Oreochromis niloticus: one gene and its partners. The protein of the gene in region 1 interacts with the protein of each later gene in a pairwise test. Links are inferred from orthologs where the notes say so. Each region holds a gene or a part of one and is shown on either strand. Other genes may lie near its edges. The genes, in order: disc1, sparcl1, smc3 and arih2.

Region 1 (7,439 bases):
ACATGTGACCTTTGCACATTGCACACCCCTATTCTCCAGCAGACACACACACACATACTCACAAACAACCCCTTGTCCTAGATTTGGAACGAGAGGAGGAATATTCCTGGTAGAGTGCTGATATCATGCTTCACCTCATGGTGTTTGTTATTGTACGGTGACAAATGAGCCTCCATGCTAAGAAAATAATGATAGCATAGTCTGTCGTTGAAAATAGATGCCTTTATTCACGATGGGGCCAAAACAATTTTATTGCCAGATTTCACCTCAGAGGAAATGTTATTTTATGATTCACATTAGTCACCTTTAGGTCTGTATACATATCACATTTTGATCTCGCATATATTAGAAAAAAACAAAACTATGACAAATTATATTTTGTAAAAACAATTTAGGCTATTTGTAATTAAGTAACTATTTTGTATTGATATGAACTAGATCATTTTGATGTGGTATAAGTTTGTCCCTTTTTATGACTGTAATAGAGAGAGTCCAAATAATTTAGGTCTGCCATCTGCTGGGCAATTTCAGAACTATGTATGCAAACAGATACATGTAGAGAGAAAATAAAGTTTTGGCCTCCTTTTACACTCCAAAGCCAAGCCATCCATTTACAAAGGAGATGATCAGCAGCCAGAGGTTAAAGAGGGGGTTAAAGGTGGGACCGGAAATTATAGCAGGCGATGATAAGGGGGCCTAACTCCCCATTTTCCTGTAGAAATAAAGGTCCTCTGCTTCACTGTGAATATATAACTATCTAAATATAAATAATACTACATGCAGTGAATGTTTGACTGCATGGGTATTTGTATGAACCTCAGTCCGCTACTTACTATTCCTAACTGCTTTACTTTGTACAACTATAACTATAATATATCACAGTGGTTCCATCTTGTGCTTAAGTCCAGCTATTATATTATTACTGGGTTACTACGTCTCCTCCTAATTTGTGCAACAGGCAACTACGTCTCCTACTGTATGTAGTTATTACATAGGAGGCCTGTGCACATTATAATCAGTGCAACGCACTGAATTTTTTAAGTTATTTTTTTTTTAACCTAAAATGGTTGTTCGGACTTTAGCGCCCCATTTATATAAATAAACAAATGAATAAATAAATCCTGGAACAACTCTAATCCAGAGATTTGCTGTAAGTCTACTATCTGGACTATGGCAGACCAGAAACCACTCTTAACATCTTTGTCAGTAAGTGCTATAAAACTTACAATGATTCAGACCTTTGGCTGGGATCAAATGACTACTCTCGTGGTCATGCTTAAAAACTTCCTGGTTCCATATAAAGGAGAAAGTCAAAAAACTGGCATGGGCTTTTTTATTAGGAGAAAAGAATGCTGTGAAATCCACAATTAGACTATTTAAATGTGATACTATATATTTGTGTATACAGTGACATAAAATCTATTTATATGATGCATCAAATGAATATTTTGTGAATACGACTAAATCAGGAAACACGTAGCATATGGTTGTGGTTATGTATGAAATCAAAGTTGGATGTAAACGTGTAAAGGTTTGATGTAAAAGTAAAAACGTGTACACACACTTTTGGGAAATGTAAAGAAAAAAAGTTGCTTCTTAACTTATTGTAGTTGATAAACTAATATATTATATCTGTGTGAAGTCTGACATCTGCTGGTCAAAGTCAGCAACACAGCTACGGCACTGTAAAAATGCATTTGATGGATGCATTGAATGCATAGCTGATGAAGGGAAAGAGCAAGCTAAACCTAACAGAGCAGGAACTAATGTGCTATTAGTCAACAACTACGTGTTTATCCTTTGATTAATTCATCTTTTATCCTTGCAATCACTCTTTTCCTGACTGCTTAATTATTTCATAAATGCCCTCATACATAGAACAGATGTGATTACATCATTTTTATACGTTTCATCTGCTCCCTCATAGACACCGTGTGTAATTTTAGCATCTTCTTTCTGGGTTTTTCACATAATATGGTGTTTCTTATGTCTTAAAACAAGTCATCACAAATGTGCCCTGTCCTTTTAGATGCAGTGGCACAGAGGTAAGCCAAAAACTAAAACTTGAGAGGTTAGTCAAAGGGCTTCTCCTGGAAACCAGCCAGCCTGTGGGGCAGTGCGCTGATGTCAAAAATGCATTAAGGGCCTCTAATCTTTAACAGAGAGCAGGTGATGGCACTCTGCATGCCAGGCGACGTGTTTCATCCCTGCTCTTACCCTAGCTGCGTGTAAGTCCTGCATTCTGTCTGTAGAACAGAGCTTTTTGTCTCTGAGTATTGTTCATGAGCCAGGCGAGCTGAATGAAAGGAGAACTGGGATGAGTGGTGTGTGAAGGGGTGGATGAAAAGACTGCGCTATGTGAGGTCTAGGGTTTGGTGCTCACTGCCGAAAGAAAGAAACACATTAAGATGTGTAAGGGAGTAAAGACCTGCTATACTGTGATTTAAATGACTGAATCACACGCTTCCTGTGTGTATAAATTTGAACTTAATAGTATTTGTGACTTAATAGTAGAGAGGTGTTTTTTCCCCCCATAAATTTCCTCCACAATCTTCAGTGACACTAAAATACAGCACATATAAACATAAAGATAAACAACAGCGTTGTTTAATCCGGTTCCGTGTCCGCTGCTACTTCCACAGTGTGCCCGCTGTGGTTATGAGGCGGTCTGAAGGAGTCTGGAGTCAAATTCCTGAACACGTAAGAGCTCCAACGCGACGCATGACGCAAGGGCGCAGCGACTAACGGATTACTGATCAACTGATCGATGTGTCGACTAACAGACAGATTTGCCTGGGCTCTGTACTTCTGCCACTGCACACCACCGCTGGTTGTGTTTTCCATACTTTTCCCACAAGGAACAGCACGACGTGAAGTCCATCTTCTTTCTCCAGACCGTCAGTTCAGGCGCAGCGGGACCCACTTTTTTCCAACAGGGGGGAGAAATGTAAGAATCTGATGTACCATAAATGTTTGTGTCAAGAAATTTTCATCAGGGACAAAACAGCGCGCTGGGAAGCCGTTTTCACCCGTCACTCACTGTGTGCAGTGAAAATATAGCAGCCCGGGTTCACTTTTCCATAACGGAAATGAGATCAGTCCCTTTGCCTGGCTCCACTTCTTCTAAAACATGGTCGATGTAACTCTATGCAGGCTTGTGCCACCGGGGTCTGACTTTCTTTGACTTTTCAACACAAACAGCCTTTTTTTTAATGGAAAAATGTTCGCTGGACTGATGGGACTGGAATGCCACAGCAACTCTCTACTTCACCGCCGCGAAGCCATTCAAGGTAAAACACAAGATTTTTAACTATCAGCTGATGTTCTCACACTAACACTGGTCTTTTACAGGATATATATACCCCCCAGGAACTACATACAACTTTAATACACCGAAATTGGATAAAATAGTAATATTAGGATGTACTAAGCCGGCAGTTTTTAGGGAGGGATAATCATCAGATGATTAAACAAAAGCAGAACAGCCGCAGTGAAGACTCATAGCCTGTTTAATAATGCATTGCCCGGAATGTGTATGAAAGTTCACAGTTCCCTGGATCATAAAGGTTTAAAGTCTCCCTACCAGTCACTCTTGGATGAGTAATGATAGATGATGAGTTGGAAATGATTAAATACTTAAATAATATGTTCCTCACCTCTTTAGACAAAGTAGAGAAGCATTTTCCTGGATATTGTCTCTATTTGGGTCTTTTAACATGTTTTACACAAATAAAATGGGCTTAACTAATAAATAGAAATGTGATCCAAGTCTGTTCATGCAGGATGCCGGTAATCAGACCTCCATTAGACCCATTTATCAGACTGTTATGATCTCGCTACATGCAACAGGGTAACTGCTGCAGTTAAAAGGCTGCTAGATGTGGCAAACCTTAGATAAAAATCTATTTCCCAAAGTGCTTTCGAAACAGCTTCTGCTGTGAGTAGATTTTTCCCTGGTCTCTGGTTTCTGTTGTGTGACATTTTTGAATGAATCTAATCTACAAAAAATATCAAAATGTCTATTAAAGAGTACGTGCAGTGTGTAAATGAATCTCTATAACACAGACTCAACTGATCCTCATGTGATTACAGTCTGACAAGAGCATAGCAGAGACGCAATCCTTGGAATATCCCCACCCTTTAACCTACCGTGCAAAATGGAGAGATAAGGGCCAAGATTTAGGACCAAAGATAGGACTTGGCATTGGAGCATACTGTATTGTTGGGTTTTCATCCACTTATGTAGTCATTTCTTTAGTAAGATGAATAGATATCACTGCTAACTTTCACTTCCCCTTTTTGTGACGCTCTGTTTGGTCACAAGTGGCGAGGTTTCGCACATCTGCCGAGCAGTGCTGCTTCTCAGGAGGTTGCTGACATGCAGATCCGCTTGTGTGTGTGTGTGTTGTGTGTGTGTGTGTGTGTCAGAGGGTGCTGAGCTTGTTCCTCAAATGTTTGTGTTTTTATGAGATCCCCTGCATTCCTCTCTGTCTTTGGCTCAAGCACTTTCAGTGCCCAACTGGATGCAGTGTTTAACCTAAGGGTGCTGAGGAGGGCCTCTTTAATCTCCAAAGGTAAATAATCTCGCCTCTTCTGGCTGACATGCTTCTTTTTCTCAGGCTCTCTGCACAGTTTCTTCAGCACTGATAACATGCTACAGTGAGAATGCTGTCATTGTGGCAGAGGGACTGTTTTATCTTTGGTGTTGAACCACAGAACGTCACTGCTTGCTTGTTTGTATTTTCTGCCTGAATTCCTGGCGAACTATTTTAGCTCAAAGCCCGACAGGAAGTAGAAAATACCTCTGAGGGGGTTCAGCCAAAAAATAGATGCCCCTCTGACACACACACAAGCCAGCAGACACAAAACAATAGGCCCCGAGGCATTTCCTTCCCCTTAAACCGGGAAGAGCTCTCTTTGTGTAATCGAAGTATGGCGAGGATACAGTAACGTCCCTCTTCTTTTGACTGCTTAGTTCTTGATAGAAGGCTTAGTATAACATCTAGCCACACCAGATGGTAGACAGTGTGCGGTTGTAGCTGTAACCCACAGATAGTGTTGGGTTTCTTACATCAGTTATGGACCAGTGGCCACGTCTGCAAGGACCCTCTAATGGACCTGTGTGTAACCCAAGCTTCGGTCCCAGTGGACAGAAAGCTCTAAGTGGCACACACACACACGCACAAACAGAAAAACACTGTGTCTACAATGGGAGCATCCCTGTGTTACTCTCACTTGAAATACTGCTATCACTGGTCTCTATTTGAGTCTCTTACAGTCTCATGGGATAGTTTAGGAGTGGCATCGTCGAGGTTACTGGGTGTTGGGAAGTGGGCTGTGGTTTGCTCATCGGTCATGCTTTGTTCAATGCCCCGCATTCCTGTCTTGATAATTGTGCTCCCACTGCAAAAAACACATTATTTGTAGAGGTTTACAGTTGTGTAAGATGTTGTTTTTATGTGTTTGTTTGCGTTTTCTACTTTTGGATTTGTTTTTATCGTAGTTAAAGCGTTTAACAGGCTTTTACACTGACAATAGTACAACTGATCCCAGTGTTTTCAGCACTGTCAGTGTGCCTCTGTGTGACTTCAGTGTTCGTGAGTGGGAGGAGAAAGCAAGAGCCAGAAGTGAAAGAAGGAGCAGCGCAGCTGTACACAAAGGGGCTGTTGATCCCCAGCGTTTGAGCGCGCCTCCTCGTCTGAATCCTAAACATGATATGTATTAATCACGTGGCCCTGCAGCAGGTGTCTGACTCCCATCACAATCTGGTCTTTATCATTACGCTCCACTTTCAGACCAAACGCTGTTTGCATGCATGTTTGTATCACTTCTTGATACTAAGATTGGCAGTGTCTGTGCTTCACAAGCTATTTCGGTTACGCCCCCTTTACAAAAAACATGGATTTCGTAATAACTGAAAAGTTTTGAGACAAGCCACCTCTTCTGTGAGTGCAGTCCAAGTGGGTTTGATAAAGCGAGGCTAATCAGTATTGTTTTAAACAAAGGTGTTTTCCACATCCTTCAGTTCATTGCTTTGGCTGGAAGACTCACAGGTTTTAGCACCCCGTCAGAAATAGATCTCAGTTAAACTCTATCAGCCTTATTGCTTTAAGAAAAAGAGAGAAGCTGAATGGTTATAAAAACAATAGCATCATCAGTGCCGGTTTGTTAGTGGACCAACATGAATCAGACATTGCCTGTGTGCCCTTTGCCCTATATTTCAGTGAAATAGACCGATTTAAGGCTCCAGATCCAGGTGTGAGCCCCCTGCTATGCTTTGAGAACCTGCCCTCTGAAGAATTTTGCTATTTGCAAAAATAAAAAAATGCAAATCTAACCTCAGAATATATTGTTCATGCATCTGGTATCCCACAGAGAGGAATGTCTTAACTTATAAATGACTGTGCAGCTTTGGTATTTCCCAACAGCTGGAGCAGAACCCTGGGAAATGTCACACATCTGCCCAACTTTTTTAATTCAGTCCATTAGGCACTATCTTTAAAGAACAAGGTCATTTTGCTGGATCACAGCTGCTTCGGGTACTTGTGTAATTAGCACATGTAGCATTACATCTTCCTGCTGTAGCTGATGATTACATGGTTAATCCTACCAGTTCTATGAGGTCATGCGTTATCTTCCTCATGGCCATGTTGTCAAGCTTAATGGTTAATCTCTGCATCGACAGGTGGCAGAGCATCAGGGACAGCTGGCAGCTCCAGCCGTAAGAGGCTCCACCGAAGACCAGGGTACATGAGAGGAGAGCAGTGCAGACTGCAGAGCGCCACTCAGGAAGAGGAGGAGGATGTTGGGACAGCCACTTTTATTACCAATGGAAAATCAGGATGTGACGCTGATATAGATGATGCAACTAATGCTCAAAGGCCAAGTCCAGCTGCTGCAGACAGTGTGTCTTTAATAAATCATCAACAGCCTGATAAACACACGTGTAGCTCCTGGAAGACTCAGAGCTTTGTCTGCTCTGTTACCCACCCTCCTTCCCCTGTGAACTGCAATTCTAAGAGTACATCCAGCCATCTGGGCCAGTCCTCACTGCCCCACAATGAACTCAGGTTAAGTTCGAGCCTGGACACTCATTCAGAGCCAGAGGACTCTTTTAACTCCAGCTTCAGTTTCATCCAACAGTCACTTACCTCCAGCCAGAAAACAACCGCCACACCCACACAAGAACAAGAACTAAGTTCATCAACAAAAGCATCTGACCTGCCTCAGACAAAACCTGAAACCTTACCTGTCGAGCACAATTTCCCTAAGCAGTCGTCTCCTGCTCAAACACTACCTGGAGGAAAGTTTTGGCGAGAATGCCTGTTTGCCGCCCACGTAGAAAGATCCCACGTGCCCGACTGTGAGGCCCAGTCTGTTGATATAGAGGTCACCTCCTCACTCTCCCTGGACTCGGACAGTACCTCCGCCTCCTCTGT
Region 2 (7,838 bases), on another chromosome or scaffold:
CACTGAGTTGGTGGAAAAGAGGTACCGCGGAGTGGTGAGACTAAGAAAAAACAGGAAAATTGTGGCCTGCAAAACCAATATAATCAGCAGAATCATTTTTTATAACTGAGGGTCACTGAGATTGCCCAGTAACTCTTTGTGTATTCTTGACTAAAGGCAAGAGATTATAAGTTATCTTAACCTTTGTAAGTTTAAAATAATGATAAGCAGGGTGCTGGTTTAGCTCAGTGGGTGAGCAGGTGACCATATGTCATATAGCTGGAGAGCAGTAGGCCCGGGTTTGAGTCTAAACTTGTCTTCCTCTCTTTCTCTCTCCCTGCTTTCCTGTCTTTCTATACTGTCTTTATCCAATGATGCCTAAAAGGCCAAAATAATAATAATGATAATCTACTGTAAAGAAAGAAAATATAGGTAATATAAGCATTACCCATTTTCCTGCCCTTCTCCTCTTTGTCTTTTGGTCTGTATTGTCAGTGCTGCTGCTCTCAGACTCAGGATCCTGTCGGCCCTCTTCTTGTCCGGGTTGTGTTTCCTCCCTGTCCGGAGAGTGCTTCCTTGACCTTTGGTTTTTCTTTTGCTTCCTCGTTTTCCCCTTAGTGTGACTTCCACCCACATTCTTACTCTTCTCTTCCTCCTTTCCAGATAGAGTGGCCCTCAATTCAAGCTCTGCATCGCCCTTTGGCTCTGGATGGTCCACATTTGCTTCAGGTTCTTTCTTGGCGCTTACGTCTTGGTCTGAGAAATCTTCGTCCTCTGTCTGATCAGACACCTCCTCGCTGTGTGCTGCCTCTGTGTTTTGCATGCCTTGTTCATAGTCATCAGTAATTTTGGCCATTTCTTTCCCACTGGTTTCTTTCTGTCTGATGTCCGTTTTTGAAGTAGGCTTGGTGTCATCTGAGTGGGTTTTGTCATTAGCCGATGCAGTCTGTAGAGGTTGTAGGAGGCTACTATCAGCAGCATAGTCCAGATCGACTGGAATCACTGATTCTGTGCTGCCATCTTCCTCTAGCAGTGCTTCAGTAGGCTCTTCCTTCCTTTCTGAATGGGTCATCTTCTGGACCTTCTCCTCTATCACATCTTCCACACTGTCTTCCTTCACTTCTTCCCCATCCAGCAAATGTTTCTTTGTCTCTGAATTCTCATCCAACTTCTCCTGATCCTCAGTGACCTCAACAACCTCACTAGACTCAACCTTGCGTTTGTCAGGCTCTACTTCTTCCTCCTCCAGCTCTCTTACTTCAGCTTCATCTTCCTCTTCAGCCTCTTTCGTCAGGAGGTCTACCAGTTCTTCTTCACTCAACAGAACTGCACTGCTTTTCTCTCGCTTTTCAGCCCTCTCTCCATCGTCCTTGTTAGCGTTGTCTTCGGAACTCAGTTCTTCGTCTTCCTGCTCCTGGCTGCTGGCCTCAAATGTGACTAAAGTGGGTAAGATCTTTGGCTTATTGGCTTCCTCTGTGATAGCATCCTTAATCAGGAGAAAAGGAAACATATTTACTGAATGTATAAAATTACACAATATATTTAGTATTAGAATTTAAAACTCTAGATGAAGAAGATGCTACTGTACCTTTTCTTTGGCTGTGTGCAAACTCTTATGCAAACCATGATGCTTTCCATGAGGTTTACTTTTCACCTGAAGATAATGAGAAAGATCTCTCTTTATTGTGTGGTGCACACATTATCATATTATGTTTTTGACAAGTTCTGTATTTGATCATTTTTGCTCATCAATTTAAGAAGAAGAATAACTTTGCTACTCACAGACAGAGCAAATGTTGCTGCCAGTAAGCAAAGGAATACTAAGCAGGCCCTCATACCTGTAAGATCAAAGTTAATCATTTAAACCTTGGATAAACTGTCTAAAAATGGATAACATGTAAGTTTTTAGATTTTGAAACCACCACAGAATTGAATATTTGAGAAAATTATTACACTAAAGGCTAAAAAGCTGTTCATGATCTATCAATACATTCTACTCTGGCTTCTCCATTTCCACAACAAAGATGTGAACTTGGCACATCTTTCAAAGTGGAAACAACTGAATGCATCTGTATGCTGCCAGCACATTCATGACGAGCAGAGCTGTGGGCCCAGCCTCCACTATCGCCAAGGTTACAGGCCTCTGATATGTGCCTCGCTCTCAAAAGTCACATTCAGAGCTAAAGTAAACACCAGAAGCTACCAGACTGGAAAAATTTGACTAAGTCCACAAACTTTTTGTGTCTCTGGAGCCCAACGACACAGACATTACTGGGTCTGTCTGGTAAAATAGTTCTCAGCACAGCTCTCAGACCTGAATGTAATGCAGGCGAGAGAGGGTGTACACACCAAAGTGATAAATTAGTCTTTATACTTTGAATAATTTAAAAGTTATCAGACACTACTATAACTACTCTATTACATGATTGCTACATCTTTAATAAAAATTTATAGACATTATAAAAACATTTAGATATGATATTTCTCTAAATTAAAATGCAACAAATTAGTACTTCCAAATATGGAGTGTATATTAACTAGTGCTACCACTTTCTACAAAAATAACAAAGCATCGCTTTCAAAAGCTCACCAGCATAAAATTGTGGCCCTAAGTAATCAAGCCAGCAGTTGCCACACACAGTTTAAATGCAGTAACTGAACAAGATGAATGTCAAACACACATCACTGTTTTGCTATATATAAATGGAGTTGCAAAGCACTATTAATTTTAGCTATTGTATTGTTTATTTTATTGCTGTAATTGTAATATGTGTGTCTGAAACAGGTCTGTCTTGTAAAGGAGACATTGAGCTTCAGTAGAACTACCTGCATAAATAAAGGTTAAATAAATGAGAAATGAAACTCTGTGTGTCTCGGGAATTAGAATTTTACCTGAGGCTGGCAGTCGCAAGAAAAATGAGTATCCCGCACAAACAGCAGAGCGTGCCTATGCTGAGCCTGTGAAGATGTCCTTTTGTATTCAAGACAGTGCACACTCTGTCCACACAAACCAAGCATGCAACACACACACAGAGACACACATACAGTTTTTTTTTCAGGGTTTAGGATGCCACTGCTAACTTTGGGAGGGCCTTTGGGCAACAGAGATAAAGAGAGAGGCAGACAAAGGGATCCCACTCCCACACTGAGCTTCTGTTGGGCGATCAACTTCAAAAAATATGCAGTGTGTCTGTTTCCCAAAAAATGACAATAAATTTTAAAAAGAACGCTCCAGGGTTCGTAACAGATTTTGACAGGTTTAATTTTTGTTACTGAAGATAAGCTCTTTAATTTGCATGCATGTATAGAGGAGTTCAGGAGAGAGGGACAACAGAGTCTACAGCCATCTGTTAAACACTACGGAAGCTCTGTTATGGTTTGGGCAGCATTTCAGCCAGTGGTGTTGGGGATTAATCTAATTAATCCAATTACAAGCACAGAAAAGTGCTGTCAGATTTCGACCTACTATCCAGTACCATCTGGTTCATTTTTCAGCAAATGATCCCAAAAACACTGCTGCAGTAAAAGCATATCTGTATACAAAAACACACTGTAGAACACTGAACATGTGGATTGTCCTCCTCAGATCCCAGACCTCAACATTATTGAAGCAGTGTTAGCTCATCCTGACAGAGAGCAGAACAAAAGGCAGCCAACATCATAGTACTCCAGGCTTCTTCTTCAAGAAGCCTGGAGTACTATTCCCGAAGACTGCTTGACGAAATGACAAGAAAGCTTGTCTAAGAGAGTTCAGGCCCTGTTGAGGACTAAAGAAGGTCAAACCAAAAATTGACTAAAACAGCATTTTAGAATTGTACAAAGTCTGTTTTTGCAAAGAGTTTATCATCTGCTGAAGAGAAGCACCAGTACAGGGCTTACCATGATGCTGATCCTGAGAGAAGGGTTTTATATTAGGGAAAACTGAGAGAAAATAATTTTCTGCTACTTCTTCTATGTTTCTACTAGTGTGTCCTGTCACTTATGTTACTTTGTTTGTCAGCTGTATTCATCCTTGATGACATCAGCCAACAGAAAACCCATTATCAAACTCAAACTTCAGATTTCCATATGAGTTAGACAGAAAACCTCAAATTTCGTATGAATAGACTCAATAAACCAGGGGTGGGGAACTCAGGGCCTCAAGGGCCGGTGCAAGTTTTAGATGTGTCCTGGATCCAACACAGCTGAATTAAATGGCTAAATTACCTGCTCTACATGTCTTGAAGTTCTCCAGAGGCCTGGTAATGAACAAATCATTTGATTCAGGTGTGTTGACCCAGGGTGAAATCTAAAACCTGCAGGACACTGGCCCTCGAGGCCTGGAGTCTCCCACCCCTGCAATAAAAAAACATGCTTGTTTAGATGTGTAGTATTTCTTCAGTGACACGTTGGTTTTTTGTTTGGTTTTTTTTTTGTATAGCACACCTGACAAAATAATGAATCAAACGTTTACTTTCATTTAAATAGTTCAACAATCATTGAAGTACTCATTAAGCTTTCTATTGAATGGATTTTGCACTCTTTGGGGTATGCTGTGGAAATAACTGGATTATTTAACAAAGAAGTGTAAGTATAACAAAAATGTACCCATGATAATGGATGGATAAGCCTCATAATGAACATAATTTCTGGTTACTGTTGTTTGTGAAAATTTGAAAAGTACTATGAGCAGGTTGTTTATGGCAGAATGAACCCAGTCCAAACCAACATGACCACATTGTTTTAGGACAGAAACAATACATAATTTTGGCCACTAGATGTCACAAAAACTAAAGTCTGTACTCTTAAAGAGGCTAAGAAACTGCAGTATGATGAGGGTAAATGATGAAAGTAGCAAGGACATGACAAAATCGCTCAGAAACTGCAGTTTTACCTTAATTAATTGATATTCAAAGAATCAACACACCAGCTTTAAACACAAGCCTCTTCAGTGAAAAAATACATTACTTTGTTAGACTGTTCATCAAAGCTGGGAAGCACAAGCTTTGATTTCTATTACAAAATGTTGTAAATCAATCAGTCAGTTCCACGAGGCATTTATGGAAAGATGTCATCTTATTTTATACAAGCTGAGTAAAACATGCACAATGTAGCATCAACATCATGATATCATGATGTTGTTTTTTGTAAAATCATATTTCACTATTCATCACTATCTTGCATTACTCCACTGTTTCCCCATAATTAGCAACCAATTCAAACATATTTAGGTAAAAAAAAGCAAAATAGAAGAAAATTATTACACTGCACGCAATCTCAAGGGTCACGCTGGTGTACTACCTCTAAATTAACAGTCTTACAAATGCCTAGTTTCAGTAAGAATATTAATACCACAGATGCATCAAATGCCTGGCTGACAAAGATAATTACATCATTAAACCTTAAGTAACGTTAGGGTGAACGTGCAGACACTGTTGACTGTCTGCGTATCACAACAAGCATCAATCATCTTCTCCTCCACTCCTCCCCTGTGGTTTTGGTGGATAGCGCTGGACTGGTGAACATTCAGTCTAATTACAGGTTTCTTTTGCTTAGCTGAAATCCAAAGTGAGGTTAAACAAGGAATTCTCTAAGCTTTTTTTGGGCCTGGCCATATAAGTATATCCAGGAAGCGATTATATGCCACAGGATGGAAATATATAGAAGCCTTTATTTGTACATACTGTACATGCTTAATGTTCCAAAAACACAATTTCCAATAACATCGTTTAGCAGTGAAGGCAAAATATGGTTTGTTTTTGTTTTAATAGACTGAATTAATATTGTACTTTGTCATAGTGTGCGTGTATATGTGTGGGGGTGTGTTAATCCACTTATGTGATGTTGCCACAAGTATTATGAAAGGCAGTGTTTAATTTTCTCAATTTAAACCAACTTTATATTGAAAACTTTATGCCCCTTGCACTTATACTACTTATGACCTGTTCCATATAATCCATCATCTGACAATAACAAAATTCCAAATAGAAAGGGAAGGAGGGGAAAAGGAAAAAAAAAGTTTCACCGGAAACAAGCATGAAACTGTCTAGCCCTCTTTTCCTCTCTGAGTGGGTGAGTTTATTTTTTTAACAGGCCACAAACCCTATAGTTTAGTTACCTAAATTATATTTCACTAAAGACGTGAGAGGGGGTGTAGGAAATTTGGTGACTGAATAAAAGAGCGCACAGTATGTGTGTATGTGTATGTGTGTGTACAATCATCATCACGCCACTGTGTGTTTTCTGAACTCCCTCTCCGGAACAAATACACCTTCGCATGACGACAAAAAAGACACGTCCGGAAGGAAGTGATGCAATCACCTTAAATGAGAATACTTATATACAGTAGTCCTTGGAGTTCCCTCCAGCATATCCACGCATCGTGCTTTTACTTCAACTACCAGCTTCCATTCGAGGTTCAGGACAGACTCCGGATTCTCCTTATAGACTGAACGAGGAGCACCAGCTGCATCTTTTTACATTACCTCTGAAACCAACTGAAGTAAGGTAAACAATTATGCATTATTATTATTATTATTATTACTTTTGATCACAATTCTTACTTTAGTGATAACACCTTTGAAAGTTTTGAATTGTCGCTTTGGTTTGTAGTAACTTAACATCTAGAAGCTTAAACCCAAGAGTAAATTGATGTGACCCTATTTTGGGGGGAGGTGTTTTTTGTTAATGCACCATAGTAGTTACTCTTAAACTGAACTGAACTTAAAGAGAATAATAATTTGATACTTATTTTAACAGAATGAAGGTTCCCATCATAACATTTTGCCTGATTGGAACAGTTTTTTCCAACCCGGTGAGTATGAAAGCAGAAAACAACAATAAATTATTAAAGCGGTCTAAAATTTGAAATATTTTTTCACCATAATTTTTTTTACATAACTTTCAGATAGACAAAATATCCTCCCGTCTAGCATGCTGTGTATTTTTGTTTATTTGAAAGAATTACTGAGGTTCAAGGACACAGTTAAAACATAAAAATAAATAATACTAGGTACAAATAAGCTTAATAATACTTGCTATTAGTAAAATAATAAGGTAACATGCATCTAAGGCATGTCATAACTATGTGTATTTTTAGAAATAATAATTTAAAAAAGTGTTGTCCTTTAAATAACCATGTTTTCCGTTTCCATTCTGACAGATTTTACACACTGTTGTTTCAGTATCAAGCGAGGTTGCATCAAACTCAGTAAGTAGCATTTTCAAATCACAAATAATTTTTTTAATAATTTTTTTCCAAATTCCAAATCACATTTGTATGGACCTTGTTTCTGCTACTGGGAAAGAGAGAGAGAAAAGAAAGTAAATAATTCCACCAATAATTTAAAGTTTAACTTAATAATTTAAAAATTCAAGTTTTTTCAGATGTTTGAATTAGTAAGTTTAAATTTTGGCAATGATTTTCTTTTAATACATTTGAGCTTCTATACATTTGAGTGTATTTCAGGAACTATACATAAACTACTAAACTATACAGTCTGCCTGAAGTAAAGCTGAATTCCTCGAACACAGTCAGCAGAAAAAGCTAACAATGGGCGTGGGTACTGGAAGTTTCTCCAGACCTCAAGATGATTCCCATTTCAGAAACTATTGTTTACTATACTTTATGTCTGCACCCATTCAGGCAGTAATAGCTTACCCAAGCAAGGGTTGACATGAATGAAATCTTAAATGAATGATGATTGTTGATGCTGCAGTTTTAGCATATAATTAAAATACATTCTTCTCCACCCTTACTTTGTTTTGTTTTTCCAGACTGAAAGTGTGTCTGTTTCACAATCGTCTGAAAATGACACCTCAGAGCTTCAGGTAATGTGTACATTTATTTCAGTAATGAGTAAATGGTTATTTTTCCTGAC
Region 3 (7,216 bases), on another chromosome or scaffold:
ACAGCATGATGCCCAGCTGATATCAGGACACCCCATAGAAAAGACAGCCTTTCATCCCTGACCTTTCTGCTATTATTTCCACTGGCTAAATAGAAAACATGTGGCTAGTTTAGATTTCAAAGAGCACTCTGTTGTGTCTGGTTGATGCATTATGGGCTCTTTCAATACCGGGAAATTCCTCTAGCATCCTGCGTCCATTTTGTCTGCAAATGACTGTAATGATCGGCTGGCAGGTGTTTGGATGTTCCTGCTTGGACAATGGTTGTGTCATAGCAGATGGATAAATGCTGGCGATCCCGTGTTATGTTTCCTTAGTAAGCTGTGTCTTGTGAGCTTGACTCATGTCTCTGCTTTCTCCCTCTTTTCCTTCCTCAGGGTAAACCAGTAGAGATCCTGCCTTTCCTCTACCTCGGTAGTGCCTACCATGCCTCCAGACAGGATTATCTCAGCGACCTTCATATCACAGCCTTGCTCAACGTGTCACGCAGGGACCTGCAGCCGGCCAAGGGCCACTATGACTACAAGTGGATCCCTGTGGAGGACAGCCACATGGCCGACATCAGCTCCCACTTCCAGGAGGCAATAGAGTTTATAGGTGAGTTGAGGATAGTAAATGCATTTAACTGTTGATTTCTGCTTCACAGGGTTTGCCTTGAGATGTTTTGCTATCTTAGAATACAGCTGACTCACTAATACTCAAACCAGCTAGGAAAGGGAATAAATAGACCAACATTAGATGGATGTTTTTCCGGCCACAAGATCAGCCTCGGTCTAAATGTATTTATAATCCAGCTTCACCCCAAGGAGTCTCAAAAATACCCACCCTGAGTGAGCGAGATATCTATACATGGATGCATTTATTTTTGAAATGCGTCTTTGTCTTCAAATAGCCTCCCTTTATCGCTGCCGCTCACCTGCTGCCATTCACAAATAGAGGGCTATAAGAAATCCGGCTGTAATCAGTTTAAGTTAATCGCCAGCCTTCAATCCCCCACCAACATATACTGCCTGTCTGCTTTCATTCAGGATTTGCTCACTTCCCCCGTTCCCTTCCGACCTCCCTCCCTTCTTTCCTTGAAAAAGACAATCCCATGCTGTCGTTGGTTCCCAGGCCAAATCACACGGTGCCGGGTGTGGCCAGTCAGTGTGACAACTGGGTGAGCTGTACGTGTTTAGTAATGACCGAGTGGAGGAGGCTGGGGGCTGGCTGGCTGGCATACGTGCATGCATACACAACAGCATTGTTTATGATGGTTGGGTGGAGGATTAATGACAGCTACACAATGAGGGAGGACATCAGTTTTTTTGTTTGCAAGAGGGACTCATTGGCGGACCTGTGGCCCACAGGGCAGCAAATGTGTTACAGAGGAAAAGAGAGTGCGTGGGAGGGAGAGAGGTGTCGGATAATAGCAGCAACAGCAAAAGATGTACAAAATGTGCTGGCGGCTATTTATATCCAGGCATAACCAAGGACAAAGCTCACCCACAAGCAGCTTGGCTGACCCGTATTAGCTGGATAGTATTGTGCATTGTTTGGGGATGCAGCCTACATTTAGGGTGTGTTTGAATAAGCCTGTCCATTACATAAGGCAGTTTTAGCCTACATTCAAAGAGGGCCTCAGCATTTCATCAGGCATGCCAACTGATTAGACACGCAGTACAAACAGATCCTCTGGCCTGCTGGTCTCATAAAATCAATCAATAAATCGGAAACCCTTCCGACCAAGCGGGTGATGTAAACCAGAGAGGAGAAAATAAATTTTATTGACCTCGTGGATGAAAACAGCTGCTGAAGCATGCCATGACATCTCCAGCCAAAGGACGGTAATTAAAACACCCACTGCTGCTGCTGCCCCGCTCTCATAGCGCCCTCCTCTCCAGATGAAGGTTCATTATTCATTCATGTGGTTTTATCGAGAATCAGAGCAGTCAGAAATCAGCCATTCTCCTTCATAAACGCACAGAAGTGGCCCTTAATGTCCCTGTTTAGTAGACGAGGTGATGTGTTGGTGTCGTTACCAGCTCGTGGAACTAAGTGTCAATATGTAGATCAGACTTAGATGCGAGACAGAAAAGAAGACATGTGGGTGTTTGCTTCTAAGAATTCTTGAAACGTGTTGCGAAGGACATTTAGACAGATGTGTGAAAGTGAACTCGTGTGTAGGCCTTAAAACATACTGATGAGTGTGTAGGAGCGAGGCGGCTCCAAATTAGAATACACTTCTCTGTGCCACAGCGAACACCACAGCAGCACCCAGCACCCCCCACAGTGGTGCAGCAGAAAAACAAATCACATGTACAGCTGCACTCTGTGACTAAGTCAAGCCTCCCACGTGTCTCTGTGTGTGCCACTTACAGTAGCAAATGATGTGTGCTCATTTCGTACTACAAAATAAATGGCAAACTAGATGTTCATGAGAAAGAAAGAGAGATAAAATATTTGGGGAAAAGTGTTTATGTAATATAGTGAGAGTGAACGACTAGACAATAGCCCAGTTAAATTTATTTCCTGTTCCAAACTCCTGATTTGAAATCAGTTTGATGCGTGGTTTTCTTATGCTGCGACAAATTTGCCGATGATTAAAGAAAGAGAAATATGCCACGGTCTCACCAGAATCCTCCCTTCTTCTTCCAGATCATGTGAAGCAGTCAGGGGGGAAGGTCCTGGTACACTGCGAAGCAGGCATCTCTCGCTCACCCACCATCTGCATGGCCTACATCATGAGGACCCAGCAGCTGCGGCTTGATGCAGCCTTCGACATCATCAAGCAGCGCCGGGCAGTCATCTCACCAAACTTCAGTTTCATGGGTCAGCTGCTTCAGTTTGAGTCCGAGGTGCTGTCCAATGCACCGGTTCATGCTGCCACACCTGAACCGGCCACGCCCTGTGTCTCGGAGTCCGCTTCCTTTTTTGCCAATGACTTTGCCACTACCTTTAACACCAAAAACTTTGAGCCGTCTGTGTTCACCCTCCCTACCTCTTGCCTGCAGTCCCCAGTCCACCACCAGTTCAAACTGAGCCCAATAACTGCACTGCCTTAAAATAAACTGTGACTGCTTGTAGTCTTACTTGAAAATATAAAAATCAACGCTCTCTCTGTGTGCCTCGTGTTGAATACGGCAGAGCAGATAGACTGGAGATCAGCCACAGACACAAAGAAGAGTCAAAGACAACTGTATTCATAATAGGACTTGAAGCCTATGAAATCCATGGGCTAGAGACACTGATGCTTTTTTCCTGTCTTCTGAACTGCAGTGATGAAACAACACAGCACAGTGATAAACTGCAATATACATGCCTTAGGTTGATATTGTGATTCATTTGCCTACTCACAAACATGGTCAGGCATTTAAACCTAATTTATTTGAAAATGATGGTCTGTTTTTTCAATAATGTGGATAAAAATATGTGTTTAATAAATGTTTTCACTGCAAAAACATTGTTGTCGTGTAATCTTTTATTGTGTATTTGGCAAGTGCCCTTTTTCATGCAAGCCAACATAAACCTCTTCATAAAAACAAGACAAAGGAATGACCAATATTTATGGGTTTAGATAATAAATCCTGTCTAGACAGGCATAAATGCAGCAGTAGAAGCAATAGTGACACCTACAGTGGCTTAGAGCTGGCCCTTGTGACTAGAGGTAAATTTAGATCAGAAGCCTTGCATCTGTTTCTTACCTATAGTCGCCTTCCACATAGCCGTATTTTTTATGCATAATCTATGAAAGCGATGAAACATGTCGCTTTCATAGAAAACTTAAACCAATGTTAATCTGAATTTTGAAACATCAACTCCTAGAAAATAATTAGTCAAAATTACTGTTACAAAACTGTCTGCACTGTGTTATTTAAAGACACTATAAATAATTTTGATAATAATTAATACAATAATTTTGATCATTATTAACACAGTCATTTTTTTTGTTTTTGTTTTTTACCGCTTTTAGTCTTATATTTCCCACTGCTGCTCATCAAAACAATTTTGGCGCCCAGAGCGCAGCCTGCTAGACTGTACCAACTAAACAAACAGAGAGGCGAATAAACAGCAAGATTAAAAGACCTAATGTTATGTCGCAAACATAACCTAACCGTAGATACACATTATATTATTGTTATATTTGAATTTTTACCTTTCATATGAATTATTTAGCTTCCCCACATGTAGGAATATAGTGCAAGGATATCCCTACAACCTGGTTTCACAAATTGGTATCATCCATTCTATCCCGCCCCCGCCGCCATTTTCCATGTTATTCTTTCCTGCCTTACAGTATTTTATGATTTTTAATGCAACAGTTTGATTGTTAAGTTTGGATTATTATAGTTGTGTTTTCTCCAGCTTGGCGCAGGGAGTGTTTCATCTCCAAATTTGCAGAGGAGACGCCCTGGATAAGCAGCCATGTATATTAAACAGGTAAGCTAACGAGACCAGACTGATACGTGTTGCCGACTGTTACTGGTCTAATAACAAGAATTAGGCCAGCTTAACGTTTTTCCACTGAATGATAAATATATTGCTATTATACTTTGAGTGAGGCTTCACTTCACAAAGTAACGTTGATTGGATTGCAAAACTGTGCACAGGCACTCCATAAATGGCAAACGTTGTGTAGCTATCTAGCTAACGTTAGCTAGCGCGATTTGAATTAGTGTAGAAGTGAATTGCCCGTCCCCTTCTCGAGATGCTAAGCTAACGCAACTAGGCCAGCCTTAGGTTTTCTGATTTATATGCTTCTTTTCATTGTTGTTATAACGTGTAATGTTGTATATGATGCAGAATACGAGAGTTTATTGTATAGTTGTCGGCTAACTTGGCATTGTTGATTTCAAGCCTTCAAAAATGTCCTGAATGAAAGTAGCGGTAGACCATCAGAGTGACCATCAGCCAAGGCCCCGTTGCCTCGTTTTACCTGTGATGGTGCTATTCAGCATAAACAGTTGACACATCTTATGTTTAAAAATATTCATAGACCCGGGAGCTCTTTGACCATGTTTACCTATAGTATGCGGTTAAAATGTTGCACTGAAACAGCTGATGTTGTAGTCGGTGTGTTCACGGTGGTCTCTGGTTCCCTGTGCAGGTGATCATTCAGGGGTTCCGAAGTTACAGGGACCAAACTGTGGTAGACCCCTTTAGCCCGAAGCACAATGTCATCGGTATGTGTTCATCCACATCTTTCCATAATTATTTTGTATTGCACCTGAGTTGCTAATCAGGTTTTTCGGATACTTTGTCCTATATGTCACCATATCCTCATTTTGTGTTTATTTTTCCCTTCATCTTACAGTTGGGAGGAATGGATCAGGAAAAAGTAACTTTTTCTATGGTATGAAGCCTCAAAACTTGCTGCAATATAGAATTCAAACATTTAGACTTCAGTGACATTGCTGGTTGTTATCTAAGACTTAACTTCCGTCTCTCTTTTTTTTTTTAGCCATCCAGTTTGTGCTCAGTGATGAATTCAGCCACCTGCGACCTGAACAACGCTTGGCCCTGCTCCATGTAAGTACAGGAAAATGTGAGTCCCATTACTGGGAACATCAGCCTTTAGTGGGAAGGTATGAATGCAAGCATGCTTGCTAAATAACAGATTACTCTCAGTCAAAATCTATGCATTTTTCTACCTGTGCCAATTGGCAAAAATGTTTTTTAAAAATTAACTTTTATCACAGTGCGGGTGATTTTGCTTTAGCTTTGACTAAAATCTCTTTGGTAGATGCCAAAACCTGTGTGTAAAAAATCTCTCTCTCCCTGTCACTGTAGGAGGGAACTGGTCCACGTGTCATTTCGGCTTTTGTGGAGATTATATTTGACAACTCTGACAACCGACTGCCGGTAGGAATGGCAAACATTTCAAATTTATTCTATTACTGTATTTTCTGCTTGATTTCATTGTGGTATTATTTAAACATTTACATAGGCCTCTCAAGGAATATGTGTGTATGTGTTAAATAAACGGTCACTGAGCCGCTTGTGGCTAAACGTGTGTATGATCATATAGCCTTTTTTCAGTGCTGATATTTGTTTCACAATTAAATTTGCATTATTGTTTACATTGGTTTGTATCAAAGTAAACCTCAAAATAAAAAAGGAAAACACAATAAACTAAAGTCAAAACAACCAGCAACATCAACCCTTTTATGCTTTCTTTTGTAACAAGACTCTTAATCTTGGGTATTAAAATGGTGAACATCCTTAGTCCAATTTAAGTTGTTCATGTCATATTGAATATTGAAGTCTCCTGGTGAGAACTGTTATGAAGACCACTGATTGCACTGCGTTGCCTTCAGTACACACAGTCCTTCTTATTCTGATGATGAAGGGCGGATGTCTGTGAAATGTTGTAGCCTGGTAATACTGTGGCATAACCTGCCAATTATCCTCCTCTGTGTGACTCTCAGCTTGCCCAGTGATAAATGCATCTCTTTCTAGATTGACAAAGAGGAAGTCTCCCTTCGTCGTGTCATTGGAGCAAAGAAGGACCAGTACTTTTTAGACAAGAAGATGGTGACGTAAGTATTGTGAGGGATCAGCTGTCCATGTTAAATTTGCCATGTTAAAATTACTGCATGTGTGATTCCATCTATTCTATGCACTCTTCTTGTTGCAGTAAGAATGATGTCATGAACCTTTTGGAGAGTGCTGGCTTCTCTCGGAGTAACCCCTACTACATTGTCAAGCAGGGAAAGGTGAGAGAGGAGTGCAGTGCCAGGCTCACTTTTTTTTTTCCTTTTTTTTTTAATGCACAGTAGTTTTGGGTGATGTGAAATGAATTGCATTCTTCAAGCAGTGGTCATTGGGTGAGTGTTTCTAGTTGAACAGACAGTAAAACAGTGTTGTCCTCGCTATTTATTTACCTTAGTCTGTTTTGCAAAAAACTAAGAGTATTAGTAGACTAAATAATTGATGTTAATTAAAAAAAAGATAATCATTTAATCATTAATTAATTATAATCATTATCATTATCATTATCATTTATTTTCTGATAGGAATATCTCAGAGGTACACCAGATATTTGGAAAATTTACCTTATGTTACTGTTTTGTGTAGATCAACCAAATGGCCACAGCACCTGACTCACAGCGTCTAAAGCTGCTGAGAGAGGTGGCAGGGACACGAGTATATGATGAACGCAAAGAGGAGAGTATTTCCCTCATGAAGGAGACAGGTAAATGCTTTTGAATACCTTTCATTTTGTACAAACATTGATTG
Region 4 (7,454 bases), on another chromosome or scaffold:
GTGTGAACGGCACAAATCCGATATTTTCAAATCCGATCTGGGTCACTTTCGTATGTGGTACTGAATCCAATACGTATCCGATGTTTTAGAAAGTGACTGCTGTGTGAACAGTCAAGTCGCATTAAATCCGTCTTTTACGTCACTGACACAAGACAGACGCCAATTATCAGCGCCGGAGAAGTGCCCGATAGGACATCGCGAACGATTTCCTACCATCCGGTGAAACTGTTGGGAAGACAACGTTGGAGAAATGTGAACATTTTATTTTTACTGTATTTTCTGCAGATTCTGACAGAAATCTGCAACTATCCTTTGAAGCACCGCTCCTCTAAAACAGCAAAAAGGATCATTATTAGGTCATCTACATTATTATGTAAATAACAAAATAACTTAAAGCAAAAATCTGGAAACATAAAGTCCGAAGTCTTTATATTAAGAGCAATCAGTCAAACAATATTGTTTGCTCTGGGTCTAAACAGAGCGCGTTGTGTGTGACATCTTCCTTTGCGCATGCGGGCCGCTTTGAGCGTTCACACTGGAGAGCGTTTGATGTCGCATTTTATGTGTAGTGTGAACAAGCAGACAAAAAAATCGGATTTGATCAAAAAATCGGAATTGAGCATTAAGACCTGCAGTGTGAACGTAGCCATAGAGCCAAAGCCATACCGGCTCAGACATTGCCCAGCTTAACAAGGTCCACATCAGGCGTTTGGGAACCAGGACATACTGATGAAAAGTGGGCAACAGGAATAAAGCATACATGGACAAGGACTAATAATATGGAATTGATGGAATGCTACCAATATTGCTCCCAGATCTTAAACCTGACCCCATGAATAAACTGTTATTGCTACGGATATATTTGTCTTGAAGAGCGACTGATGTAATTATGAAATGATATAAGGTGTAAAATCTTGCAAACCTTTCCTTTCCTGTTATTGATGTTCTGCTGAGTGCAGATGTATTGAATTCTTCTTGTAGCACTGATGCTATTAAATCCTAGTTCGGCTTAATTGGATCAATTCGATCAACGGCATCGTCAAGGTGACAGGAAGGGGGAATCATAACAGACTGAGGCTGCTTTTTCAGCTAGATCGTACTGAATAGACACACAGATAATGTGGAAACACGAAATGCTTTGGTGACTTTATGAACTCACAATATAAACACGTCTTTTCCTTTCAGATGGTGAAGGGCTTCTCTAATCGTTCCCGTAAGGCCAGGATGATGTCTGAGCTGAAGGATGAGAATGACCTGGCTCTGTTTGGAGAATGGCAAACTGAAGAGTACCAGCCGCCGATAGCCGTGGATGGGAAGGTATCTGTGTGTGTGGGCTTGAGCATCACATTCAGAAGATTAAGCGAAACAAAGTTTTATGAGCAGCATAAGAACCAACAGGATAAAGTGTCAGTGTCATTGTGTTTTTGTATGTTTTCCTCAGGTCCCACGTAATGACTACGGTAATGTCTACCTGTTTAAACCCTGTATGTTGCCGGTGGGCTGTGTTCATATCAGGTTGCCCAACCTGCACCGCGTGGCCAGGAAACTGAACATTGACGCAGCGCCTGCAGTCACAGGTTTCGACTTCCATGGAGGATACTCGCACGCTGTGTAAGATGACTCTAAGGAGCCTTCGGTGGGGTGTAAACACAATTAAGCAGATGGATACGATCATACAGGAGAATCTCATGATGAGCAACTGCACTGAGAGTTAGAATTTCACAATACTGAGGGACTTTCAAAGAATCTCATATTGTGACAGGACGTGTCGACTCCTGTGTTTGATGCATTTTTTGACCCATGCACATCATTATCGATTCCTAGACAGACTCATTAAATCGTAATATTTTCCTAAAAATCAGTTTGTGTTTGTTTTCTACTTACTCTCACTCAGTTTTAGTTGTGAAGGCAGATACTGATAACAGTATCTTTAAATTTCAATCACAACTGTGTGTTTTTTTTTGTTGTTGCTTTTTTGAAAGCTTAATTAGTTGCTTTCCAAATTTAGCCGTATTGTTTCCAGCGAGCTTATTTTCATCTCATTAGTTGGCTTTGGGTAAAATCCCTGTCTGTTAGCATTTGCATGGAATCATTTCAGCGTTTAAAATAAAAAGATCAAAGTCAGCATGTTTAGAAAGAAATGGAATAAATGCACTTGTTACAAACATGTCAAAGCTAAGGGGATATTTGCTTACTTGTGTGTGTTTCAGCACTGACGGCTACATTGCATGTGAGGAGCACGAGGAGGTCCTCAGAGCTGCGTGGGTGGAAGAACAAGAGCTTCAGAAACAGAAGGAGAAAGAGGTGTGTGTGTGTGTGTGTGTGTGTGTGTGTGTGTGTGTGTGTGTGTGTGTGTGTGTGTGTGTGTGTGTGTGTGTGTGTGTGTGTTCTTTCATATCACTAATTTGACAATTATTGATTACAAGCCTGTAAGATTACCAGATTATGTAGTTTAGGTGGGAACTTTAACATAAAGTATCAGCTATTACTTCCAAGTAGAAATCTGTACGCAACAGGCTTAATTTTTTTCTTTTCTTGCAACATCTAGAAAAAAGAGAAGAGGGCCATCTCCAACTGGACTCTGCTGGTGAAAGGACTCCTGATCAGAGAAAGGCTTAAAAAGCGTTACAACAAGAAGAACCAGGGATTGGGGAGCCTTGCTCATGGAGGTGACGCCGAAGGGTTTTCCTCAGATGAGGAGGCTGCTGAGGTTGAAAGTCCGGGAGCTAAGACGGCATCCGAGACTCTAGCAATGTCCTGGCCTCAGAACAGACAAGCAGAGGAGGATGGTGGAAATGCCGGCGGACTGAAGAAGAAGAAGGTAACAAAACGAGAGAAGAAGGGTCAAGAGCAACATTTATTCCCCTTTGAGAAAGTGTGATGTTGGAGACCACCTTCAGGTTTTTGTAAAACAAAGATTGATTCCATTATGCTGTTAAAGAAGCACTTCACTGACTTCTTGCAACATTTAGTTTGGAAGATGTTCACTTCACTTCAAAGCAGGATAAACTGCGTGGGTCACTGAAATACCCCGGAGCCTTTGGAAGTAATGCTGGAAGGAAAGGAAAGGAAATACGGGAAGCGAGGAGAAGGTGACGACGTAAAGCATCACTGTTCATAGCTCCATTTTGGTGTACACTGTATTATAAGATTTTTATATGAGAACTTCATGGACATACAAAATGACAGTAAGAGGGGAAAAAAAACATGCATATGTACAGCAACAGTGTAGGTTGTCATGGAGACTGTGGAAGTGCCCTTCACATCTTCATGTGTATGAAGTGAGTATTAGGCACTGATATCAGGTTTAAATATTCAGTGCTTCAAACTTTGACCAGTACAGACAGGTTTGAACCTGCTGGGCACATTAATGTTGGCGTTTAGAGCTTATGCTGACATGAACAGATAGCTTGTGTGGCAATTAAACACAATACCTCCGGTGCTAACACTACAAATTATAAAGAATAGTAAAAATAAGCACACAGCATCTGTGCTCCTGTCAGCTGCTGCTGTTTTATCACATTCATGTCGGCAGTTTTTTCCCCAACCTGCAGGTCTGACCAAATAAGAGCATAGCTTCTGTTACTGGCTCAATGTAAATGTTTTGTTTTTTTAAAAAAGAAAGTCATTCCGTTGATTTACTTTTGTCAGCTGATTTGTTTTAATACTCACATTGTGTAAAGATCTGACAGAGCCATTGTAAGGAACCAACCACTGTGCACATTTAAGTTGATCTATCTGACTCTATGGATATAGACTCCTCATCTAACAAAGTATATGCAGACTATATGACAGTTTTTAATGAGTGTATAACTTGAAAATCACTAAAACTGTTCTTTCATTTTTGATTTATCTTCAGTGCTTCACTTCCTCTTTGCCTGTTTAGCAGGAGGTTTGCTTATATCTCCTCTTCTCTTTGTCATTGTTTGCATTCAGTATTTCTTTTACACTCATCTGTTTTACATATTTGTCACCATTTTATAACTTTTGGCTGTATATAATTGTTTCCGAAACTGAAGAAAAGACAGAAAAGAAATTACCATCCACAAGTCAAAATTTCAAGTTTAAATTTTAGGATCATATTTTCTTCTAAATTTGAGTTGGTAAATAGAAATTTTGAGATGCCTGACTGTAAATTGTGAGAATTGTGAGATGAAAAAAATTTTTTTGTAATTGTAGATTTTCCATACTACATGTCGTCAAACCATTTAAAAATTGCCAATTGTTCTTGTATGAAATTTATTTTTGTAATAAATGTTCAAATATCTTGAAATAAAAAATGCTGTAGTTTTCTTATAGATTTTGCTATCTATACTTGTTAATTGGACACTTTTATACATCATCAAGATTGCCCCATTAACCACCTTGAAATGGTGAGTAAACACAGGTGTTACTAATCCCATATTAATTATGTTCTTGAAGGTTCAATTGTATTTAGGCACAGAGTCTTGATCACTGTGAACTGCCTGTGTTTACCTACAAAAGGACTGCCAGAAGATGGCCTGACTTTGGCTTGCCTTTCTCTCATTTTCTTATGAAAAGGTAATGATTGTTTACGAGGTTTTTAGGTAGAGTGCAAGGCATTCCTTAAAAGTAAAGACAACATCAGTGTAAACTGCAGAGGTAAAATGTGTCATGTTGCAGCAGTAACAGCTGACTGAACATCAGCTCCATTAGAAGATCCATCTTCTTCCTCAGCAATTCCACCCTATTACCAGACCATTTCCCTCTGGGGCTTAGCCCTCGACTTCTCTCAGGCACTGCTGAGAAGCACAGCAGAGGATAATGCATAGTTTATCAAGCCATCACTCCTATACCTTCATAGCAAAAGAACTGTAAGTGTAATGTTTCAGTCTAGCTGAAGAGCTGCATTAGACTGCCTGCAGTTACAGCTTTAGGAGGAATGGAAACAAAAGCAGGAGCAATTTAGAAATGCAGCTTTATGATGCCAGGATGTATTTGATACCAAAGATGATGAGTTACTGGCACGAAAGGATCGAATTTCATAAAGTGACATTCGAGGATCAGGATAAACAGCACACATATGCACATACATTCAAAAAATATATACACACACAGACACACTCCTGCACTGCCGCTGCACGGCCAGTAGGGGTTGTAGAAGGGCGTAAAACTCGAAACACGTTTAACACAACGATACTCAATTGAAAACCCATTTGCTAACAGCAGTGGAGGAAGTATTCGGATCGTAAAGTACTCGGGTGCAAGTAAAAGCCTTCTTACAGTTACATAGATAAAAGCAACCCGTGTGTCATCGCCAAAGTACCACTAATAATAAAAAAATAAGTACTCCGTGTGGGAAAATATTTAATTAGATTATTATTGATCGTGCATTAATGTAAAACAGGCTTGTGCTTTATAGCTAACAGAGGCAATTTCTAGTTGCAACAAATGGTTAATAAATACTGAGAAATATCACAAGTACTCCGGTTGATAACAAGAGCAGTTGCCAGTTTTCTATCAACCTGGCTCAATTACGAAGGTAAATATGTTGCACTGTGTGAGAACTTTTATCTTGTACGCGTTTGTAAAACATGAAGTTTCTAAAGGTAACTATTTTTTAGATTACTGAACGGGCATAAGGAAACACAGTCTCAGACTATACAGTTACTTATGCAATCTTTATAACCTGGATGGGATTTAGGTGTCACGTTATAAGAGCAATATGCCGGGAGAGAATTTTCTATGTGTGTAAACCATAGACTGTATACAGTGGACATAGGCTACAGTATCCTGAGAAATTTGAATTTAGAATGAATCCTCTTTGCAGCATGAAATCAATAAATCAATCTCTCTGCATAGTGAAGGTCAAACATCCGAGGAAAATTATATTGATCAAAACATGGATTTAACCAGATGTATGTTTGGAAGAAAACAAAACAAAACAAAGCAGACATTTGGTGCTTGAATACTACCGGACAAAACAAGAAGTGCTGCATCTTTCCTTGCAGAGAGAGAGAGAGCAAGGCTGCGAGAGAAACGCGGACGTGACGTCACTGTTAAGTACCCCTGTAACGGTCTATCTTCCGCCTACCAGCCAAGCAAAAGAGTGTAAATCGCTCTTAGGATTTCCTTACTCCAAATTCGCCTCTGGTTGTCACCGCGGGCTGGCTTGACTCTGCACTAAGAGGTAAACCCCACCGACTTTAAACAGTGGAAATTCACGCAGCGGTTGTGTAAACGTGCCTCTTTGCTCCCGAGCTTCTCCAGAGGCCCTTGTTTACATCTCGATCCCCGGACTAGAGTGGATGAGAGGCGGAGGCACAGCGGAAGAGAATGGGGAGGAGGGGTGGCTACCTGGCTAGCTCTTATGTTGTCAATTCTAGTGGGGGAACATATTAAAAGTGTTCCTTGAAAACTTTTGCAAGTGTGTTATGAAGGTGCTCAACAGTCGTAACTCGTCCGAGTCGTGGGTTTGCAATTGCGTGACTTCCTCTGCTCAACAGAAATACCAGCACGCTAGCCAGCTAATCCAGCTAACGGTAAGTTAGCCAGCTGTTGTGTGGATTTAACTTCAGAGGCGCTTTGAGCCGAAACGCTGAAGTCCAGGCACGACCGGGTGCTTATTTGCGTGATTTAATCTCGACTCCCCGCTACCCTCATCCTCCCACAAGACCTGTTATCAAACCTGTGCTGAGTCGCTGTAATACATTAGCCTAGCAAGATGTGTGTCACCCAGTTTGCTGCCTATTTTTATCCTGGATCGGGCGGAATGCGAGCGTTCGTCTGTCTGCCGGGGCCGACTGGCAGGCTTTCCCGGCTAACCTTGTTTTCTGTCCAGTGGATATTTACAAAGTCACATTTTGAACACCGGTGCCAGCAGTCGTCTTTGATCCCGTGTCTGTTGAACAAATCACATGTCGAAATAAGCCTACTAGAGGGGCCTTTGTGCTGTCACTGTTTTAGTTATCCTCAGTGTATTTTCCGTTCAAGAGTGGGGGGATTACTTTGTATTACACGGCGAAGACACACGTTTTCTCAAGAAGTAACAAACGCAGGCTTCTCGCCCATATTTTTTTAAAAAACCAAAACAACACGTCAGGTTCTGTGCAGTGTCGGTTTTAGAAAGTAAATGCAGTTTGTATAAAGCATCTGTCTGTGTTAGACCCCAACCGATATACTGGAGGTCCAATATTAGTGGCTAGAATTAGGTAGGAGTTATCAATGCGTATTGGTGTTTATAATATGGAAGCTTGTTTCCAGCACTGATAATGAAACTTTGGGGCATTGTCTCAAAATTTGTAGCTGGGAGATGCTTAACTTGAACTTATGATATGACCTGAAATGATGGCCTAGCTGTGCCTGGCCCAGTGGTGCAAACAAGCTTGCATATTTATGACTCATAAATGAAAATGTAAAAAGTAAAGAAGAGAATGGTGAAACACCCTTCGCCTGTGTTATGAGTGTTATCGTTGCATAGTTTGATCACCCGA

Evidence for each region.
Region 2: the proteins of disc1 (region 1) and sparcl1 interact in a two-hybrid assay, tested with the Homo sapiens proteins (2 studies listed by BioGRID and IntAct). The link is inferred for Oreochromis niloticus from reciprocal best matches to the Homo sapiens genes DISC1 and SPARCL1.
Region 3: the proteins of disc1 (region 1) and smc3 interact in a two-hybrid assay, tested with the Homo sapiens proteins (2 studies listed by BioGRID and IntAct). The link is inferred for Oreochromis niloticus from reciprocal best matches to the Homo sapiens genes DISC1 and SMC3.
Region 4: the proteins of disc1 (region 1) and arih2 interact in a two-hybrid assay, tested with the Homo sapiens proteins (2 studies listed by BioGRID and IntAct). The link is inferred for Oreochromis niloticus from reciprocal best matches to the Homo sapiens genes DISC1 and ARIH2.

The regions. Positions count from the first base shown.
Region 1 is NC_031978.2:23,847,437-23,854,875, forward strand, and holds the start of disc1 (disrupted in schizophrenia 1 protein), read left to right. Parts: upstream 1-4,423; 5' UTR 4,424-4,465; coding exon 4,466-4,574; intron 4,575-6,685; coding exon 6,686-7,439. UniProt on the Homo sapiens protein: Involved in the regulation of multiple aspects of embryonic and adult neurogenesis. Required for neural progenitor proliferation in the ventrical/subventrical zone during embryonic brain development and in the adult dentate gyrus of the hippocampus.
Region 2 is NC_031971.2:19,486,327-19,494,164, reverse strand, and holds the start of sparcl1 (SPARC-like protein 1), read right to left. Parts: upstream 3,019-7,838; 5' UTR 2,872-3,018; intron 1,818-2,871; 5' UTR 1,816-1,817; coding exon 1,762-1,815; intron 1,634-1,761; coding exon 1,568-1,633; intron 1,466-1,567; coding exon 428-1,465; intron 1-427. Other genes in the region: scpp1 (secretory calcium-binding phosphoprotein 1), read left to right, coding at 6,719-6,772, 7,121-7,168, 7,735-7,788.
Region 3 is NC_031971.2:30,160,592-30,167,807, reverse strand, and holds the start of smc3 (structural maintenance of chromosomes protein 3), read left to right. Parts: upstream 1-4,214; 5' UTR 4,215-4,402; coding exon 4,403-4,417; intron 4,418-5,084; coding exon 5,085-5,160; intron 5,161-5,291; coding exon 5,292-5,330; intron 5,331-5,438; coding exon 5,439-5,506; intron 5,507-5,767; coding exon 5,768-5,839; intron 5,840-6,436; coding exon 6,437-6,516; intron 6,517-6,614; coding exon 6,615-6,693; intron 6,694-7,054; coding exon 7,055-7,172; intron 7,173-7,216. Other genes in the region: dusp5 (dual specificity protein phosphatase 5), read left to right, coding at 376-595, 2,636-3,042. UniProt on the Homo sapiens protein: Central component of cohesin, a complex required for chromosome cohesion during the cell cycle. The cohesin complex may form a large proteinaceous ring within which sister chromatids can be trapped.
Region 4 is NC_031984.2:25,584,401-25,591,854, reverse strand, and holds the start of arih2 (E3 ubiquitin-protein ligase ARIH2), read left to right. Parts: upstream 1-4,441; 5' UTR 4,442-4,542; intron 4,543-5,993; exon of another isoform or gene 5,994-6,151; intron 6,152-6,228; exon of another isoform or gene 6,229-6,503; intron 6,504-7,454. Other genes in the region: xpc (DNA repair protein complementing XP-C cells), read left to right, coding at 1,186-1,317, 1,442-1,611, 2,211-2,304, 2,549-2,881.